Linked DNA regions of Daphnia pulex. The protein of the gene in region 1 interacts with the protein of each later gene in a biochemical or structural test. Links are inferred from orthologs where the notes say so. Each region holds a gene or a part of one and is shown in the gene's direction. Other genes may lie near its edges.

Evidence for each region.
Region 2: the proteins of SWI/SNF complex subunit SMARCC2-like (region 1) and ATP-dependent helicase brm-like form a complex in vitro, tested with the Drosophila melanogaster proteins (2 studies listed by BioGRID, with this or other methods). The link is inferred for Daphnia pulex from reciprocal best matches to the Drosophila melanogaster genes mor and brm.
Region 3: the proteins of SWI/SNF complex subunit SMARCC2-like (region 1) and brahma-associated protein of 60 kDa-like form a complex in vitro, tested with the Drosophila melanogaster proteins (2 studies listed by BioGRID, with this or other methods). The link is inferred for Daphnia pulex from reciprocal best matches to the Drosophila melanogaster genes mor and Bap60.
Region 4: the proteins of SWI/SNF complex subunit SMARCC2-like (region 1) and calphotin-like form a complex in vitro, tested with the Drosophila melanogaster proteins (2 studies listed by BioGRID, with this or other methods). The link is inferred for Daphnia pulex from reciprocal best matches to the Drosophila melanogaster genes mor and Bap111.

What each region holds. Positions count from the first base shown.
Region 1 is NC_060024.1:13,930,687-13,935,550, forward strand, and holds the start of SWI/SNF complex subunit SMARCC2-like, read left to right. Parts: upstream 1-1,442; coding exon 1,443-1,556; intron 1,557-1,638; coding exon 1,639-1,823; intron 1,824-1,891; coding exon 1,892-2,055; intron 2,056-2,120; coding exon 2,121-2,271; intron 2,272-2,331; coding exon 2,332-2,897; intron 2,898-2,962; coding exon 2,963-3,051; intron 3,052-3,142; coding exon 3,143-3,286; intron 3,287-3,348; coding exon 3,349-4,864. Other genes in the region: NAD kinase 2, mitochondrial-like, read right to left, coding at 1-105, 180-386, 445-752, 815-983, 1,049-1,132.
Region 2 is NC_060018.1:7,736,545-7,741,301, reverse strand, and holds the start of ATP-dependent helicase brm-like, read left to right. Parts: upstream 1-1,195; 5' UTR 1,196-1,351; intron 1,352-1,674; 5' UTR 1,675-1,684; coding exon 1,685-2,352; intron 2,353-2,416; coding exon 2,417-2,957; intron 2,958-3,022; coding exon 3,023-3,283; intron 3,284-3,346; coding exon 3,347-3,724; intron 3,725-3,787; coding exon 3,788-4,183; intron 4,184-4,251; coding exon 4,252-4,516; intron 4,517-4,590; coding exon 4,591-4,757. Other genes in the region: uncharacterized protein LOC124205796, read right to left, coding at 1-92, 176-409, 477-649, 710-840. UniProt on the Drosophila melanogaster protein: Transcriptional regulator. Acts as a coactivator, assisting one or more dedicated transcriptional activators of ANTC and BXC homeotic gene clusters. Can counteract the repressive effect of Polycomb protein.
Region 3 is NC_060018.1:7,203,884-7,208,663, forward strand, and holds brahma-associated protein of 60 kDa-like, read left to right. Parts: upstream 1-1,324; 5' UTR 1,325-1,503; coding exon 1,504-1,587; intron 1,588-1,661; coding exon 1,662-1,879; intron 1,880-1,940; coding exon 1,941-2,103; intron 2,104-2,165; coding exon 2,166-2,651; intron 2,652-2,724; coding exon 2,725-2,870; intron 2,871-2,939; coding exon 2,940-3,063; intron 3,064-3,133; coding exon 3,134-3,271; intron 3,272-3,353; coding exon 3,354-3,509; 3' UTR 3,510-3,710; downstream 3,711-4,780. Other genes in the region: CCR4-NOT transcription complex subunit 9-like, read left to right, coding at 1-379, 446-626. UniProt on the Drosophila melanogaster protein: Involved in the recruitment and site-specific anchoring of the Brahma complex at specific promoter sites.
Region 4 is NC_060024.1:6,635,658-6,640,715, forward strand, and holds calphotin-like, read left to right. Parts: upstream 1-1,890; 5' UTR 1,891-2,051; coding exon 2,052-2,124; intron 2,125-2,318; coding exon 2,319-2,369; intron 2,370-2,465; coding exon 2,466-2,500; intron 2,501-2,571; coding exon 2,572-2,661; intron 2,662-2,724; coding exon 2,725-2,982; intron 2,983-3,043; coding exon 3,044-3,141; intron 3,142-3,212; coding exon 3,213-3,639; intron 3,640-3,705; coding exon 3,706-4,818; 3' UTR 4,819-4,938; downstream 4,939-5,058. Other genes in the region: collagen alpha-1(I) chain-like, read left to right, coding at 1-896, 978-1,522.

The sequences.
Region 1 (4,864 bases):
AGTCGATACACACAGTCCTGAACTTTTGACTTTAGTACGCTCACTTCCATCCACTGCAAGCTCATAGTAAGACACTCGAGCGGAGAGAGCTTCGCCTATAAATACCTGTACAAGTAAAACGAAAATTTAAAGTTAGTTTTGATTTGATTGAAATAGTGTTTTCAAATTTTATACTGTACTTCGTTGAGAGCTTTCACAGGCAAAATTCGTTTGTTCTTTATGCTTTCTTCTGACTTAGGGACCTCGTCACGGTACTCGGAAATCTCTAAAAATCGGTTTTCTAATTGATTAAGCTGCTGATCATGCAGCTCAACAGGTACATCATAAATTTTATCGCCAATGAGTGTCACGCGGATACGCTTGCGAAAAAGCCAACGGAACTTTCCCTATGAACAACAAAATTTACTATTTGTTTGGAAGAGATAAAAAGGACGAGGAATTAACCTGAAGTAGCTTGTCAATGGCATTCTTGATGTTATTAGAGTATTTCTTCGGGAGGCAGAGGTAGCCTTCGGATCTTGTAGGATCGCTATTAAAACCAATTATCGTCTTCGTAGGATCGTGGATTTTACTTGCACCAAGTAAAAATGTACCATCTCCTCCAGCAGTAAAGATAACATCAGCCCAGTTAATGTTACTTTCATTGTAATCAAAGCGAGTCACAACTTTTGTTTCAATGTTCTTTTGCTCCAAGATACTCTTCACCATGGCTTCACAGTTTTTATGGAGAGTATGATGGTAGAGTAACATATCTAAAGAGAATAAACACTATAAGTATGTATTAAATTAACAACTAAAGTAAAGAAAGAATTACTGTAATCAGATCCTCGCTTTCGTAAGGCGTGCTCCAATTGATTTTCATCAAGATTCTTGTGCCTGAGCTTCTCAAATTCATAGCGAGATAGTTTTGTCAATACCAAGGCTTTTTTTGGAGAAAATGTGGATGCCTCTGATGGGCTCCAACTTCCTACTGAGTTTCTTGACTGGAAAAATTAATAAAAAATGTAGGTTTAAAAAAATTTTCAGAATGAAGTTGGTGTATCCCTACTAGTTTTCTGTACAGCTGTAAATTTCCTATGAAGGATAAGCTCCTTGTCGGCGAACCTTGAGATGCGATTTTTCTCAGAAACATAGCAGCACAACCGTATGGGTCACCGGAAAAATGGTCAGTAAGAGAAAGAAAAATACGTGTCAATCAGTCACGTTATATTTCTATAATATTATCTCTGCCATATTATCAGTTCACCAATAATCTGTTACGTGATTTCAAAACATTGGTTTGGGAACCATCGTACGCAGAAAAACTGAAATAGCCTAGCAGACAAAAAATTATTTCAACTTCCTAACGATAGATGGCTCTGTATAAATAGTGACGGCGTTTGAAACTAAACGACTTCCCTCCCTTGAATGTGAAAGAAGACGCATCAAAAGCATCATCAAAGATGGCTTTCGCACCGAAAAAAGACGGAGGACCAAATTTAAAATTCTACGAGTCTCACGAAACTTTGTTGCTTTTCGAAGGAGTAAAAGCATGGCTTTCAAAAAATTGCAAAAAGGTAAATATTCACCGGCAGCAATCACCGTTTGTCATGTTAATTCTTCGCTGTCATTTGACCGGTTCATTCCCTCTTGTTTCAGTATGTTCAAACAGACCCTCCAACAGCCAAAAGTCTTTCAACTTCCATTACTCAAGTTATCCAGTTTCAAGAAGATACTTATGGCAAAAATGTGGCTAAACCACCTTTGACAAGGATTCCTACAAAATGCTTCCTAGACTTCAGGCCTAATGGCGGCATCTGCCAGATTTTGGCTACTGTTTACAAGTATGTAACTCTTTATTTGTAGCATGCTTCAGTGTTATTGACATTTTTCATATTGATCTTTATAATAGGTATCGTACTGACCATGGATGGAGGCGCATGGATTTTGCTTCTCCTTCCAGAATGGAACGCCACATTGAAATGATGGTTGCGATAGAGAAAGCACTGATTCAAGCCAAATGTCTTGTTCAGCCTAATATTTACATCATGCCAGATGTTGATAAAGGACTTGTCGGTAAGTGCTGTTGTCATATAATAATGCAGTGTTAACAGTTTCATGACCTTTGAATGTCTCACTAGGTAAACTGAAAGAAATTGTCAAAAGGCATCAAGGGTTAATCGCAGAGACTGAAGCTGAAGCAACACATCTTGTTCATTCGGCTGCTGATCCACTCGAAGAAGAGTACGCCCGTCCACTGTTTCGTCGCGATCGCAACACTTTGCTTCATTGGTATACCTCAGTTAAAGCAACAGTTCTGAACCCATGAATATACAACGTGTCATGTCTTAGGTATTACTTCCCAGACTCGTACGACAAGTGGGATACGATCGAATTACCTGTCGATCCTCCAGAGCTCTCAGACTATCTCGAATCTTTGAATGAACCTCACAAAACCTACCGAGTTGCCGCCAACTGGTTGCTGGATTTAGATCAATACAACGAGTGGATGAATGAAGAGGATTACGAAGTCGATGCTAGTGGAAAGAAAAAAGTGCACAAGCTTCGATTGTCCGTTGAGGATTTGATGAGTGGCGGTGACAGTAAACAAAAAGGGAAAACTCCTTCCACTTTGAAACGGAGAAGGTCTCCTTCACCGGCTGGCAGTGGATCGACTAAAGCCGCTGCAACTCCCACAACTGCTGGTGGTGCTGGAAACAAGCGCAAGAGTGTCCGTCCTGCCTTGGGCAAAAAATTCAAAGGTGGCGAAGAGGACAGCGACGATCTTACACGAGACATGGACGATCCTCCCTCAGACACTAATCTCCGCGAAGTCGAAGTGCCAAAGACTCATCCCGTTCCGGGCGGACCTCCTCCAACGGCTATTAAGAAAGATGCCGATTGGATGCCCACTAAAGGTATTATAGATTATTTATTCTTTTGTTAATTGTAGTGTCATTGTTGTATTTTTGATTGAAATTAGGAGCTGCATTGACTGATTTAGATGAAGAAGGTGAAAAGTTGGCAGATATCACATTAGTCACACCACAAGACGATCCGCACGGGCAGCAGGTACTGCTACAACAGGTTATTATTTGGTCGGAAATTTCCAGAACTGTTTCGAGTAACCAGCCGTGTTATTTATTCACCTCCCCCATTTTAGCATGACGATAATGTCACCGACCAAACTCACCACATCATCATTCCCAGCTACGCTGCCTGGTTTGATTACAATTCGATTCACTCGATCGAACGTCGCGCCTTGCCCGAATTTTTCAATGGCAAAAACCGTTCAAAGACTCCAGAGGTAAAATGAAATTTTGGTTTTTCTTTTGTTCAAGTCATACCCATTTGGTCTTTTATTTTCAGGTTTATTTGGCGTATCGTAATTTTATGATCGACACCTATCGCTTGAATCCTACCGAATATTTGACCAGCACTGCGTGTCGACGCAATTTGGCCGGTGACGTTTGCGCCATTATGCGCGTTCACGCCTTTTTGGAGCAGTGGGGACTCGTCAATTACCAGGTGGATGGGGATTCACGCCCGATGCCTGTCGGCCCACCACCCACATCGCACTTTCACATCCTCTCTGACACGCCGTCAGGTCTGCAGCCCGTCAATCCTCCTCGGACAACGCAGCCATCAGCGGCCAAGACTCTGATCGACATGGATAAGAAGACGGCAGCTCGCCAATCCGAAACAGCTCCCGTGGCCAATAATTTCGGCCTGAAACTGGACCAATACAGCCGTAAGAGCTCGTCCGTGTTGAAGAACAAGGCAACCAGAGAGTGGACGGAACAGGAGACGCTGCTCCTGCTCGAGGGTTTGGAACTGTACAAGGACGATTGGAACAAAGTCTGCGAACACGTTGGAACTCGCACCCAGGATGAATGTATTCTCCACTTTCTTCGCCTTCCTATCGAGGATCCATTTTTTGAAGACGTTGAATTGGGTGGCGGCGGAGCTGTTGGACCTTTGGCCTATCAGCCCATTCCGTTCAGCCAGGCCGGCAACCCCATCATGTCGACGGTGGCGTTTTTGGCATCAGTTGTGGATCCACGAGTTGCTGCCGCTGCTGCCAAAGCTGCGATGGAAGAATTCGCCAAGATCAAGGACGAAGTTCCATCGGCCCTGCTGGAAACGCACTTGAAGAACGTCGAAAATGCTCTGAGCGAAGGCAAATCGGACGCCTCGGTGGCCGCTTTGGCCCAATCTGGAATTGCTGGAACAGTTCAAGACAAGGAGGAGGCCGAGAGGGAGAAGGAGAAAGCGGACAAATTGGCCGAAGAGAAGGAAGCCTTGGAGAAGAGCGAAGAGAAGAAGGAGGCTGATAAAAAGGTGGAAGAAAAGAAAGAAGCAGAGAAGAAGGAAGGTGAGAAAGAGGAGTCGACTAGCGCTGAAGGCAGCAAGGAGCCAGAGAAAGAAAAGACGGCCACTGAAAGTGAGGAAGACAAAGCTGAGAAGATGGACGTGGACAACGCGACCGTCAAAGACGCCAAGGAAGACGGTGAAGGAGCCAAAGAATCGGCTGCAAAGGAATCTGAAACTAAGGAGCCCGAAATCAAGGAGGAGAAGATGGACGTTGACGAAACCAAGAAAGACAAGGAAACCACCGAAGAAGACAAGGAGAAATCCGCCGAGGCTGCAGCCGCTCTGGCCGCCGCAAATGAGAAACAGAAATTGGTCAAAGACGCTCAGTTGCAAGCGGCTGCTGCGGCTTCGCTTTCCGCGGCTGCCGTCAAGGCACGCCACCTGGCCGCGGCCGAGGAACGTAAAATCAAATCTCTGGTTGCCCTTTTGGTCGAGACGCAAATGAAGAAATTGGAAATCAAATTGAGGCATTTTGAAGAACTCGAAGCCATGATGGATCGCGAAAGAGAAA
Region 2 (4,757 bases), on another chromosome or scaffold:
ATATTGTTTGAGTTTTTCTCGCTGCTCAAACCACTTATTTCGGTCACGGTACGCTTCTTCCTTTGCTGGCTGGTAGATAAAATCTGTAACCTCTATGAACAGACAAAATGTATGCACTATTATTGAGTTCACAATAGTTGTCAAATCTAACAATAAGTTTTAAATTTATAAAAACCTTTTAAACGGTTGTCTCCAGCGTGGAAAAAAAGTGGTTCCGTCCACATACCGGCATTTTTCCAATAGCCTTGATGCTCAACATTGCTCACTGTTTCTGGCTTAAACAAAAGTTTAGGGTCTTTCTGGGCAAATAGTTTTGGTGGCAAACTAATTGGTTCTTCTTCTGGTTCTACTGCAAGATTGCTCTCCTGAAAGAGGGTTCGTAGAGAGAACTCACTACCTTTGCCAATATCTAGATTACAATGAATTAGTGTAAACATATGCATTATACCAATAAATCATAAATACATTTCATATACCTAGAGCTTCTGTTGTCTGGTAATAACGTTCAGAAGATACTTCTGGTAGAGACTGTTGCTCAAAATCCATCTTGCCTTTTTTAAATGGCTTATCTGTGTTGCTCTTTGTTACTTTCTGAAACTTATTATCATGGCTCGAGAGATTTGAATCAAATTGGATGAATGCTTTGTTTCTAAAAAATATGAAAATTTTTAAAAACAATAATATGAATGGCAATGCTTATTTTTCATACCTGAGCAGGGGTTTTGCTGACTCTGACTGCTGTTCATTGCTAAGAGACAAATCAACCATGGTATCACTTTCTTCAACATGTTCGTCGAAGATAATTTTTTTATTCAATGGCTTTTCAGATATAAACGACATTGTCGATTGTATCACGCTACTAAGCTGCGGTTTTAAGTACTGTACTTCAGTTCGTTGTTAATTATAATATAACGTTTTATTATCATCAATCTTTCCGGAAAATTTGTTGAACTGAACGTCTTAACACGTGAGTCGTGAGAAATTGAAAATAATGATTTTCGTCTGCTAGAATGCAAACAAATGACACGAGTACACCAATGCCACTAACGTTTGGCTTGTCTGTAAATGAATTTTTTGGAATCTAATTTTAGGTAAATTTATTGAGAAGACGGATTTCACTAAAAATAAGAAATTATATTTAAATAAACGTTAAATTTATTGTGGCTTGTCATCCCATGTGGCAACTGTTTCCAGAAAAATCTTCAAGGTTCGTACTACATAGTTCACCACACCCCCACGGAGGGCGAACCAAGCAACGCCAAGCAACGCAACGCCATAATTTTCTATATTATTCGTTCTGAAAGGGAATTCCCAAACATAAACTAATAAAGGGCAAAGCAATTATTGAAACGTGAGTTAACAACCATAATGGTGTAATTGATTATACACTTTATATTTTTAAACTTTCATTATCTGAAGATATATTCGTAAAATTACTTGTCACGAACTTCACCGGCAATGAATCTAAAGAACAATTCCTTTCATCCCCTTGCAAACATTTTTTTCATTTTTATTTGATGCTTCAACATATTTTAAGTAAACTCTTGGAAGTAAATGAAAGTTTATAAATTCAGTAGATGTTTATCTCTTCTATATTATTAGTGCATGTGAAATCTTTTTTGTGTTGAATTTTGTGTTAGTAAAATTTTTTCCGTTGTTTACTTTGTGTCTTAGGCTGTGAAATATGTCATCTGGAGAACCACCTTCTTCGATGATGACTTCACCTGGGCCAGGGCCTGGAACACCTCAGCCATCACCTTTGTCTCATCCTGCTGCATCTCCAGCACCACATTCACATCCAAATTCAAATGCTGGAAATCAACAACAGCAAGTTGCTTCTCCTATGGCACCTCCGCAACCACCTTCTCCAATGAACCATCCTCAACCATCTCCATCACCCATGGGTCCACCAATGCAGCAACACCCTCCCCAGTTTCAACAACAACCTCAGCAGCAAACTTATCCACCACCCATGTCAGGAGCAGTTTCGATGGGGCCTCCTCATCAACCTATGCAGCAACCAATAAGGCAGCATCATGGTGGAGTTCCACAGCCTCATTATATGGGAGCAAGTGGTGGCTATCCTCCAGGTTCACACCACCAACCTCCACAGCAACCAAATTATCCATCACAGCCTGGTGGACCAATGCCTCAACAATCCCAACAGCAACCAGGAGCACCACCTTATCCACCTGACAGTATCAATGCTTTGCAAAGAGCTATATCTACAATGGAAGACCGCGGCTTGCAGAATGATCCTCGCTATGCTACTCTTCTTGCCATGAGAGGAAAACAAGAGGGAATGGCTCCTACTAGCCACAGTCCTGGTCCACCACTTATGGATCCTAACAGGTAACTTGAATTGCGATCAAAATATATCTGAACAATGTGTAACTGATCCATTACCAATATTTAGACAACCTGGTGTGCCATCGCAGTATGGGCCGCCCAATCCAGCGACCCTTAATGGCAATTCTTCTGGACCGGAAGGGGCCAATTCTATGAAATCGTCATTCCTATCACCTACACAAGTCCACCAGCTACGAGCGCAAATTATGGCTTACCGGTTGTTGGCTCGAAACCAACCTGTGCCAACAAATATTGGAATGGCTGCCCAAGGGAAACGGACGGACCTTCCGACACTTCAGTCGCAGCCTAATACTGTATCACAGCTGGATCAACAACAACAGCAAATATATGTTCCGTCTCCGTCTCAGCCTGGACAGTCTTTCCAGAGACCTACAGCTCCTTCGGCTCCTACTCCGATGCAACCTTCTAGCGTACGGCCTATTGGGCCTCCATACTCTTCTCAGCAACCTGTGGCACCATCACCGAGCGGACAGCAGTCTCAGCTACCTTCTATGGGGCCACCACCATCGGCAGGAACTCCAACTCCGGGAACTACTGCAAGTCCAGTTCCTGGTACCATACCGACTCCTCGTCCCCCTCAGCCACAGGTAGATTTTCTAAAATGTCATTTGTTTTAGAATGGTTATAAATGCTACTTGTACTTAAATTGTAGGTCCCTGTACATCCGATGCAACCATCCCAAGGGGCTACTGCCCCTACTGCAATTCAAATGGGTAATGCTGCATTGCAGCCCATCATAGCACCACCAGCTGTGCCCACTTCTAATGCCTCACTCATGCAACAACAACCCGTGATGCCACATTCACAGCAGATACAACCACAGCAACTGCAGCAACAAACACTTGTGTCTAAACAAAACAAAGTTACCCCAATTGCCAAACCAGCAGGATTAGATCCAGTTGTAATTTTGCAGGTATGTGTAATCTATTCGAAGTAATATAACCTTAACATTATATATATTTATTTATTTTAACAGGAAAGAGAAAATCGCATGGCTACGCGCGTTGCCTACCGTATTGAAGAACTTAGTAATCTACCTACTACAATGGGAGAGGATTTGCGAATTAAGGCGCAAATTGAATTACGTGCTCTGCGATTACTTAATTTCCAACGGCAGTTGCGTTCAGAAGTGTTAGCTTGTACGAGAAGAGACACCACGTTAGAAACAGCTGTCAACGTTAAAGCTTATAAGCGGACAAAGAAACAAGGACTACGAGAAGCTCGAGCAACTGAGAAGCTTGAGAAACAACAGAAAATGGAAGCTGAGCGCCGACGCCGTCAGAAGCACCAAGAATATCTTACTGCGGTCCTTCAACACGGCAAAGATCTTAAAGAGTTTCATCGTAACAACCTGGTAAATAATTATACCAGATACTTTGGTGATAAGAAAGCTTATTTTAAAATTTTAACTTTTTAGGCGAAAATTGTGCGCATCAACAAAGCTGTCCTACTACATCATGCTAATGCAGAACGTGAACAGAAGAAGGAACAGGAGCGTATTGAAAAAGAGCGTATGCGTCGCTTGATGGCGGAAGATGAAGAAGGTTACCGTAAGCTTATCGATCAGAAAAAAGACAAACGTCTTGCATTCCTTCTTCAACAAACGGACGAATACATTGCCAATTTGACGGAGATGGTGAAGCTGCATAAAACTGAGCAACGGCGAAAAATGAAAGAGCAGCAGATGATCAAAAGACGTGTGCAGCGGAATGATGATGGAACAGTTGTGGAGGATTTCCATGTGAGCGTTATTGAAACGGCTTCTGGGAACACGCTTACCGGCGAGGAAGCGCCACTTGCTTCAGTTCTCCAAGTAATTATTACTATTCCAAAGAATTTTCATTGTGACGTTTTTGTGATAATTTTATTTTCATTATTAAGACCTGGTTGGAAGCTCATCCTGGCTGGGAAGAATTAATTGAGGATGAAGAGCAACATATTGAAGAAGAACGACCGGAAGAGGCAAAGAAAGCTGTAACCGACGAATCCAAAACTGCCGACGAAGCAACTGTTGTGGTCGTAAAAACGGCGCTAGATGACGAATACAAGACCGATGACGGAGAAAAGAATTACTATTCGATTGCCCATACCGTACACGAAAAAGTTCACGGACAGGCTAGCATTTTGATCAATGGCAAATTGAAAGGTGACTATGCGACATTTGTCTGTAACAAGTGTGATGCAATATGTTTAATGCTTTTTGTTTCTTCTATTTTACAGAGTATCAGGTGAAAGGTTTGGAATGGCTTGTTTCTCTTTACAACAACAACCTGAACGGAATTCTCGCTGATGAAATGGGTCTTGGTAAAACCATTCAAACTATTGGTTTAATCACATACTTGATGGAAGTCAAGAAAAATCCAGGCCCATATTTGATCATTGTGCCC
Region 3 (4,780 bases), on another chromosome or scaffold:
TCCTCTACCCTTTTTTGCACACTGTGAGCAAGACACGGCCATTTGAATATCTTCGTTTGACCAGTTTGGGAGTCATTGGTGCTCTAGTTAAAACTGATGAACAGGAGGTTATCAACTTTCTTCTTACAACAGAGATAATTCCATTGTGTTTGAGGATAATGGAAACTGGATCTGAACTGTCCAAGACTGTTGCAACTTTCATACTTCAAAAAATTCTCTTGGATGAAACTGGTCTGGCTTACATTTGTCAAACTTATGAGCGCTTTTCTCATGTTGCAATGATACTTGGTAAAATGGTTTTATCATTGGCCAAAGAACAGTCAGCTCGTCTTTTGAAGCACGTTGTCCGATGTTATCTTCGTCTTTCTGACAATCCAAGGTAAGGGACTTGCAAAAACCAAAAAGGAATTTTCGTATTGATATAAAATTCGACTATATTTTCTAGGGCTCGTGAAGCGTTGCGACAATGCCTACCTGATCAGTTGCGTGATAGCACTTTCTCAACATGTCTTAAAGATGATAAGTCAACTAAACAGTGGATGGCGCAACTTCTAAAAAATTTGGAAACTACTAATGGAATGGTAGATCCCCGAATCACCGGTTTGCCCTCAATGACTCAACCATGAAATGTTAAAAAAGAATGAATGCTCTTGTCTTGTCTTCAGCGAAAAATCGATCAGAATTATAATACAAACTTGCTGTATTGTTTTTTATTGCAACTAATTTTGCGGTTTCTGCTGACTTATTATATAAATTATAAACACGTGTTTCAGAGAATGTTAAATTTACTTATAAGATGTTCATTTGAGGATACACGAAACGGTGATTTCATTTTTGTTCAGTATCAATACGCAATATAAATTTGAAGTGTTATGTAAAAATTAGGTTCAATTTACTAACGCGAAAGACAAGGCGAAAGATGTAGCACGGGGCCACGGGTGTAGTGTCAAGACGGTTCAAGCTATCTATCTCTGTTGCAATATATTTTGTGACGATAAAAATGTTTTTGTTAACTGCCACGATTGCTTTTGGTCCTAACTTTTAAGTCTTAGATTTTTAATTGGTCCAAGTATTGAAAAATTACTTACTATTTTGTATTTTTGCAAATAATCGAATATTATCTGAGTGCACTACCGTAAAATAAGAAATTAGGTCTGAAAATTAATGAATAATGGGAATGGAAAATAAATAATATCAAGTTCGTTCGCGCAACCCGCACCCTCTGAACATTCCAAGAGATTCCAAGCTGAATTTTTGTACATTTTATAGAAACAAAAAAACCTTGAATTGTATGCTTTTTGGCCGCTACGTGGTGTTGAGGGAGGTTTATAGACGCGGTCAACAGATGGCGAATCAAAGCTTCAAACGGCAGGTTCGACCGTTCATCTCATCCGTAAAAAAGCAAAAGAACACTAAGAATTAAATAAGTAAATAATCGAAGAAAAAGTATATCTTAATTTTTGGTGTGTATTGTGTCGATCGCCGTTTTGACGGTTTTATAAAATGCAAAATACGAACGCAGCTACAGGAAGACCTCCCTTTCCTTCTCCGGGGAGTTCTATGCGGTTCAACTCTCCAAATTACCCTGTAAGTATAGTTTCTGTTGTCTTCAATTTTACAGTACCAAACCTTGATGTCATTCAACTTTCATTTTATCATAGCGCCCGGCATTCAATCAAATTCAAAACCCTCCAAACTCTACTTCTTCAGCAAGTCCTACAATGATGGGTCAAAGACCAAACATGATTGGGAATCCAACACCTCCAAATTCCTATAGTGGACAGCCTGTAAGGCCTGGTGGTCCCGGAATGAGCCCCCAAGCTTTGGGACCAGGGAAGAGACCTGGTGACATGAGAGCCCCTAATCAAACAGGAAAACTGTAAGAAATCAGATTATTTCTTTGTGTCCTTAACATCCAAGTATTAATGGTTTATATGTAGTGAATATGGCCCTAACAGTGCAAAGAAAAAGAAAAAGCTTGCAGACAAGATTCTTCCACAGAAAGTTCGAGATTTGGTTCCTGAATCTCAAGCTTACATGGATTTATTGGCATTTGAAAGAAAATTGGATGCTACTATTATGAGAAAACGTCTCGATATTCAAGTAAGTTGAAGTAAAGATTTCTTTTACACGTGTCAGTAATACTTTTAATACTTTCGTTTCAGGAAGCTTTGAAAAGACCCATGAAACAAAAACGAAAATTGCGTATTTTCATCTCAAACACATTCTACCCTGCTAGAGAAATGGATAATACTGAAGATGTTGGCGGAGGAAGCGGGGTTGCTTCTTGGGAACTGAGAGTAGAAGGACGACTTCTGGATGATGCTGCCAAATCAGATCCCAATAAAGTCAAACGGAAGTTTTCTTCGTTTTTCAAATCTCTCGTCATTGAGCTTGATAAAGACTTGTATGGGCCTGATAACCACCTTGTGGAATGGCATCGAACGTCTACTACTCAAGAAACGGATGGGTTTCAAGTAAAACGACCAGGAGATCGAAATGTACGGTGTACCATCTTACTTTTGCTCGACTATCAACCGCTGCAATTTCGTCTCGACTCGCGTTTGGCTCGTCTTCTTGGCATTCACACTCAAACAAGACCCATGGTAATCTCTGCATTGTGGCAGTACATTAAAACTCACAAACTTCAGGTATTATTCATAGCTGTTACAAGCCATGTGTCAAGAATAATCTAATTTTTTTTCTACTTCCTTACTACCTTAGGATCACCAAGAAAGAGAATTCATTCGTTGTGACAAATATATGGAACAAATATTTGGATGTCCTAGAATGAAATTTGCTGAAATTCCACAAAGATTGAATCCTCTCTTACATCCCCCTGATCCAATTGTTATCAACCATTTGATAAGGTACTTAGAAATTAAAGAAGAGACCATTTTCCATTTTATATTAATTTTATAACTTTTTTCTTTCAACAGCAGTGTGGAGAGTGCAGATCAGAAAAAAACTGCCTGCTATGACATTGATGTAGAAGTTGATGATACATTGAAAGCCCAGATGAATAATTTTTTGCTTTCTACTGCAAGCCAGCAAGAAATTCAGGTTTTTTTTTTCTTCCTGTCAATTACTTTGGCATGTTAAGATATATCTAATTTTTAATTTGTGGATGTAGAGCTTAGACAACAAGATCCACGAAACGGTTGAAAGCATTAATCAACTGAAGATCAGTCGAGAATTTTTCCTTGGATTTGCCCGAGATCCGCAGCAATTCATAAACAAATGGCTCTTATCTCAAACAAGGGATTTGAAGGTAAAAAGCTAAATAAAAAAATTTACAAAAATGTGTTGGATAAATTTAAACGATGTGTTTTTGTTTTGTTTTTTGTTTTCAGACTATGACTGACATCGTAGGAAATCCCGAAGAGGAGCGACGTGGAGAGTTTTACGAGCAAAGCTGGACCCAAGAAGCCGTTTGCCGATATTTTTACAGCAAAGTTCAACAAAAGCGTGCCGAATTGGAACAGGCATTAGGCATTCGTAACAATTAGAATGTTACTACTAAGGAAAACAACTTTTGGTTGGACATCGTTTATGTAAGCCAACTGTGACCAAGTGACAGCAGATTAAAAGAAAAATCCCGAGTTACTTATCGTGCATTTGCAGACTGGTAAAATAACAAGGAAACTTTTAACTTTCTTCGAGTATCGTGAATCCTAATTTGGGTCTAAATACATGGTGTCTTAAAATAATACTTCATCATTACTATTGTTTGCCACCCACGCAAGTAAAGAGATTCAGACCTCTCGATTTTTATTTTTTTTAAATTTTTTTGTTTGTTTGTTTTTGTGTTTATGCTTTTCAATTTTTACCGTGTGTCCCAAATCTAGGTAGCGCTTTTTCCTTAACTTAAATTCGCTTAAATTTAAGAAGGAAATTTTAGGCAGTGCAGGGCTCATCTGATCTATCTGATAATTTTAGAATAGTCATATGATGCCATGGGTGAACACATTTTTACTAAACTCGTAGTAATTGATGCATTAATATCAGTCTGGTTTTTCTACTGTGCTCGAACGCCCGACCCATTCAAAACAAATAAACTATAAACTATCAAGGGACTGTTGAGTAATCGATAAGTATTGGGGTCATGGGATCGGTTCAATATTCCTTCGATGAAGAAATTGTTGTAGTAGGAAACTGATAAATTGATCTGATTCGCCAAGTATCTTTATTTGCGCTTTTCATTAGATAGCTTGTTGATTGAATTACACAGTGGAGTTCCGTCGTGTTGCGTGAGTGTTTAGAGAGAATTCATCAAAATTCGTTCTCTGTAGCCGGTGAAAAAATATTCTAGTTCTAATTTATCTACAGATGACACGGAAGAACAACGGCCGTCAATTCGATTCTGTGGTGGAACGTAGATCGTGATTCGTGATGTCTCCGACTCACATCCTGACAGCGGCGCATTGCATTATTCAGTAAATAATAAGGACCCATAAATCCACCGGTGCGGAGACAGAGATGCAGCGGTGATGGGACGGATGATTCCAAAAGAAAGAAAAGCTATTTTTAAGTAGGAATTATAAAATGATAAATTTTCAAGGTGTTATGGCTACATTTTTTAAAATAATAATTTTTAATCCAGCAGATAATTTCAGCACGATATGGCTGTAGTGTAGCCATTTAAAACTATAAATAGTGTTTGATGCGGTGTAAAAATATATTTTTGCACTTCGCAACCCGAATGCCTGATATAGTGATATATCATATATGTTAAGATTGATTTCAACTTCTTTTCGCTTCTTTTCCTTCTACGACTCGC
Region 4 (5,058 bases), about 7.3 Mb from region 1:
AGAGCAGCAGTGGTCCCGGCCATCGCTGAATCCATACAAGGCCCCAGCAGGTTCTTACCAAAATGACCAGGATCCTCAGAAAATATGGGAAATGTTATTGGAGCAATTCCCAGCGCTGATTGGACTGCCCGGTCCTCCTGGACCCGAAGGAGAATCATTTTACGGCAGCAGCCAATACGAACTTATTCCTGGTCCACCTGGAAATCCTGGCGAGAGAGGGCCGGACGGGCCAAAAGGTGACGATGGAATTGCAGGTGCTCCTGGTGCTCCTGGAGGACCCGGTCCAAAAGGAAAATTGGGCAACCCAGGCGCTCCTGGAACCAAAGGAGAGAGGGGTGATCCAGGTAATACGGGAGCTGCTGGCGATCCTGGAGCCCCAGGAATGAAGGGCGAGAGCGGAGATCCTGGATTTAATGGCGAACCTGGCCTAGCTGGAGCACCTGGAAATCCAGGAAAAGACGGATTCCCAGGGGAATCAGGAGTCCAGGGACCGAAAGGTGACATTGGAGCGCCAGGATTGACTCTTCCATCCAAGGTCGCAGGACCCCCCGGTTTATCTGGAATGCCCGGGAAAGATGGAGCTCCAGGCAATACTGGCCCAGTTGGATCAATCGGTCCACAAGGACCAATTGGATTGGAAGGTAATCCAGGCAAACCTGGTTTGAATGGTGTTCCCGGTGGGCCTGGACCAAAGGGCGACAACGGATTCAATGGCAATCCTGGAGCACCTGGTAAAGACGGTTTGCCCGGTGGACCTAGCGACGTTGTTGGACCCATTGGGCCAGAAGGAGAACGTGGAACGCCAGGAGACCCCGGGTCACCTGGCAAAGAGGGCCTCACTGGCGCACCTGGTGAGCCTGGAAAAGACGGATCGCCCGGCGCTCCTGGTCAAACAGGTATACAATTTTGTTTCTTAATTAACTGCTCGTTTTAATGACTTGATTGCATCAAACAAATGAATATTGGACTTATTATAGGCGCTCCAGGTGAGGAAGGCAAATCAGGCAAGGATGGTGAACCTGGTCCGACGGGAACACCCGGCAATCCTGGTGGAATAGGTCCGAAAGGTCCAAAAGGTAAACCTGGCCCTAATGGCTCTCCTGGTCTTCCTGGAGATATTGGACCCATTGGTCCTGTCGGTCCAGAAGGCAAACCAGGTAATGAGGGAGCTCCTGGTTATCCTGGAAAACCTGGACCAGCTGGCGGAGTTGGTCCTCAAGGAAAAAAAGGTGATAATGGCTACCCTGGAAAAACCGGAGCAGTTGGGCCTGTCGGGCCTCGCGGAAAACCAGGCACAGCCAGCAGCTATGGTTCAGGAAGACCCTATGGTAGACCCAGCTCTAGACCCAGCTCTTCGTTCTCTGACTTCTTTGGATCTTTCTGGTCCGACGAACCTCAAAGTAATAAGCCGGCCAGCTCGTCATTCTACCCAAGTGGGCCTGCTTCAGAATATTCAGGACAGTCTTACCAAAACAATAATCTACCACCTGCATATCCAGGCTACGTACGAGTAGTGTGGTGATTATTCTCATCAATCACACCAGCCCCCATTCCAAGCATAATCAGCATGAAACATTTTTTGTTTCCTATTTATCTTTCTAATAATTAATTACAAAATTATAGTAAAAAGAAAATTTACCTTACATTGAAACAAGCCAATGTAATATACGGAATCTGTGGATATTTACTATTTCGTGACTGTAAACTAAGAAAAATAAACTCCAAAAGGGAAATGATTAATAAACAATACACATATGTTAAATTGAAAGTTTAAATTTATCTGAATCTCAGAAGTCTAATTCGTATTTTTCAAAAGAAAATTTCTCGTAATTGAAAACTAGCCATCTCCCGCCCAATATATACAACAGAGTGAGAAGAGGCTTCAAAAATGTGACAGACCACTACTACCTACTGAGTAACGACGCTTTGGTTTGTTGTTTTCAATCGAGGGAAATCTATTAGTTGGTACTTTTTTGTGCTCCGTTTTACAAAGGAAAATTACTCAGATTGGTCGGAATTCACAACGCGGATAAGTTTCGGATAATACTAAAATGGCGCTGCCACAGAATTATCGCCAAAACGCCATGGCCTCACCAGCTCCGATTCCAAGTACCGGTTCATCTCGTATGTTCTATCGATGTTCCTAAGTTTGATTCAGTTGCGTGCACCACGTTATTTTTAGTTTTCTTTTCTAGATTCATTTTTGTTGTTGTTTGTTTACTTTTTTATTTGCACCCGACTTTTATTTCGTTAGACTTAGATGTTGGCTTGTTATGTAGTTCCTTAGTTTTTTTTTCACGTTTTCTCTAATGCTTCAGATGCCATGAATCACAACCATGGAATGCCTGTATCATTTAACATTCTAAAAGGTACCCTTTTGTGTTGACCCGAAAAAAATTATTATTTATTTCCTTCGAGCTGCACCAATGTTCTTGTATAACTAACGTTTTCTATGTCTGATGCAGAACGGTTAAGGGCATCTGGCTCCCAGGGAATGTCGGTAAGTGGTCCATAGTCTAAGGGGGAAAAAATTATTTGTAGCTAATGCACCAATACTTTTAAAAATTCTAGAAAGATGCGAGCAACCAGAATCCTTTTGTCATGAATCCTCATGGACATCCCCAGTTCAACCCCCAAAAACTTGGGACCAAATTCGCAGTGGTACTCGATTCACCATTTTCATCATAACCGATATCTTTACTGAACCCTTCTTTGCTTGTTTAGAGTGGCAGCAACACCTTGAAACCGCCTAAAGCACCTGAGAAACCATTGATGCCCTACATGAGATATTCTCGTAAAGTTTGGGATGAAGTCAAGGCAGCCAATCAAGAGCTGAAGCTCTGGGAGATTGGTAAAATCATTGGCCAAATGTGGCGAGATCTGCCCGACGGCGACAAGCAAGAATTTGTCGAAGAGTACGAAACGGAAAAGGTCGAATACGAACGCACTCTAAAAGCCTACCACAATTCCCCAGCTTATCAGGTAATTCATTCTAGCAAAATTAAAACTAAAATGTTTGAAACTATCATCACAATTCGTTTAGGCATACATCACTGCCAAGAGCAAAGCTCAACAGGGAGCAGATGAGAAGGAATCTGCCAGCGAACGAGGCATGTCGGCCAAAGCAGCTTTCAACGACAGGTTTGACTTTTAATCTTTATGCTATTCCAAAATTGACATGACTAAAATTTTACTTATTTAAAAAAATATAGACGCATTGAAATCCAACCGGCAGAGGATGAAGAAGACATTGACGACGGCATGTCAGTCAAGCACGTGGCCCACGCCCGCTACGTCCGAAATCACCGATTAGTGCACGAAATCTTCTCGGACGTGGTGGTGCCGGACGTTCGTTCGGTCGTCACCACAGCTCGCATGCAGGTGCTCAAGAGACAGGTGCACTCGTTGACGATGCACCAGAAAAAGTTGGAGACGGAATTGCAGCAGATCGAAGAGAAATTCGATTCCAAGAAGCGCAAATTTGTCGAATCGAGTTCCGTCTTCCAGGACGATCTGGTGCGCACGTGTCGCAAGCCCATCGACGAAGAGACTTTCCAGTCCATGGTCGAACAGCAGACGGAAATCATCAAGAAGGAACGTGAGAGGGAAAGAGAACGTCAAGCCGAACTGATGCGCGAAGTATTTTCATCAATTATAAACTCAAAATGTTGTAGATTTTTAATTTGGAATTTTTTAATTTGATAGCGTGAAGCTGCTGCTGCTGTCGCTGCTTTGCAGGCTGAAAAGGAAGCAGCTATTGCCGCGGCCGCTGCGGCGGCAGCTGCTGCTGCCGCTCCACCTCCGTCTGCTCCGGTGGAACCGATGGAAACGGAAGACTCGGTCGTCGTGAAAGAAGAGCCCAAGAAGGAAGTGGTGGCTCCAGTGGCTGCTCCTTTGACAGCCAAGACGGAAGAACCCGTTGTCACTCCGGTAGTGAGCCAGGAGCCGTCGTCACTTGCTCCTGTCCCGATGGAAACGGAAGAAACGAAGCCCACCGTCCCTGAGACTTTCAAAGTCGAAGAAATTAGACGTGAAGAGCCATTAGCTGCCGTTAATGTTCCTCCGCCAACCCCTGCGATTGAAACTCCACCAGTTCAAACTGCTCCTTCAGTTGAAGTCGCTCCTACGACTACAGTTGAGCCAATTCCCATTGCTCCTCCTGTAATTGAATCTGCTCCAGTGGCCGAGGCTGCTCCTATTATCCAAGCAACTCCGGTTGTCGAAACGACCTCAGTCATCCAACCGACTGTCGCAGCTGCTCCAGTTGTCGAGGCCCTTCCAGTTGTTGCACCAATGCCAGCCGAATCCTATGTGACCCACAATCCTGTGACTGAAGCTCCTCCAGCGATTGTATCTGAATCTTTGCCTGTCGCTCCGGTGGTAGAAACCCCTCGCCAACCAACTCCTCCTGTACCATCGACTGAACAGGCACCTCATCATTCGTTCGAAGCCCAGCCACCACCGGCTCCAGAGACCCCCTCAGTTGAAAACGTCACTGCTGAGCAACCTCCTGCAGTTGCAGCCGAAATTCCAGCACCCGCCGAACCATCTCCATCCGTTGAAACCCCTTCGATCGCAGCTGAGCAACCAGTCAGTGCTCCTAGCGAACCTGCAGTCGAAGAACCGTCTGTCAAACCAGAATTGGTGGCAGAGAAGAAAGAAGACGAGGTGCCCACCATCTCAGAGCCTACTCCCCCGGAAGAACTACCCGTGCCACCAGCAACGACAACCGCACAACCAGAGGAAGAGAAGCCACATCCTGAAGTTGGTCAGACTCCAGATCCCCAAGCGCTTCCTCCCAGTACTACTGAAGCTTGATTTTTTCTAAATGAACGCCACAATTTAAAACTAAACTTCATTTTTACCCCCCGCGATCTTGAGATATTGTTAGCATCCTGCGCATGGAGTCCAAAATAAACAATACACTTTGGAACAAGATTGCAAAATCGAAAAGAACAATATTTCTATTCAGTAATTCATGATAGTATTTACACACTTTTTAATTAAGGATTTCATGATTGCAATAAATCAAATCAACATATGAGTTGGATATTTAAA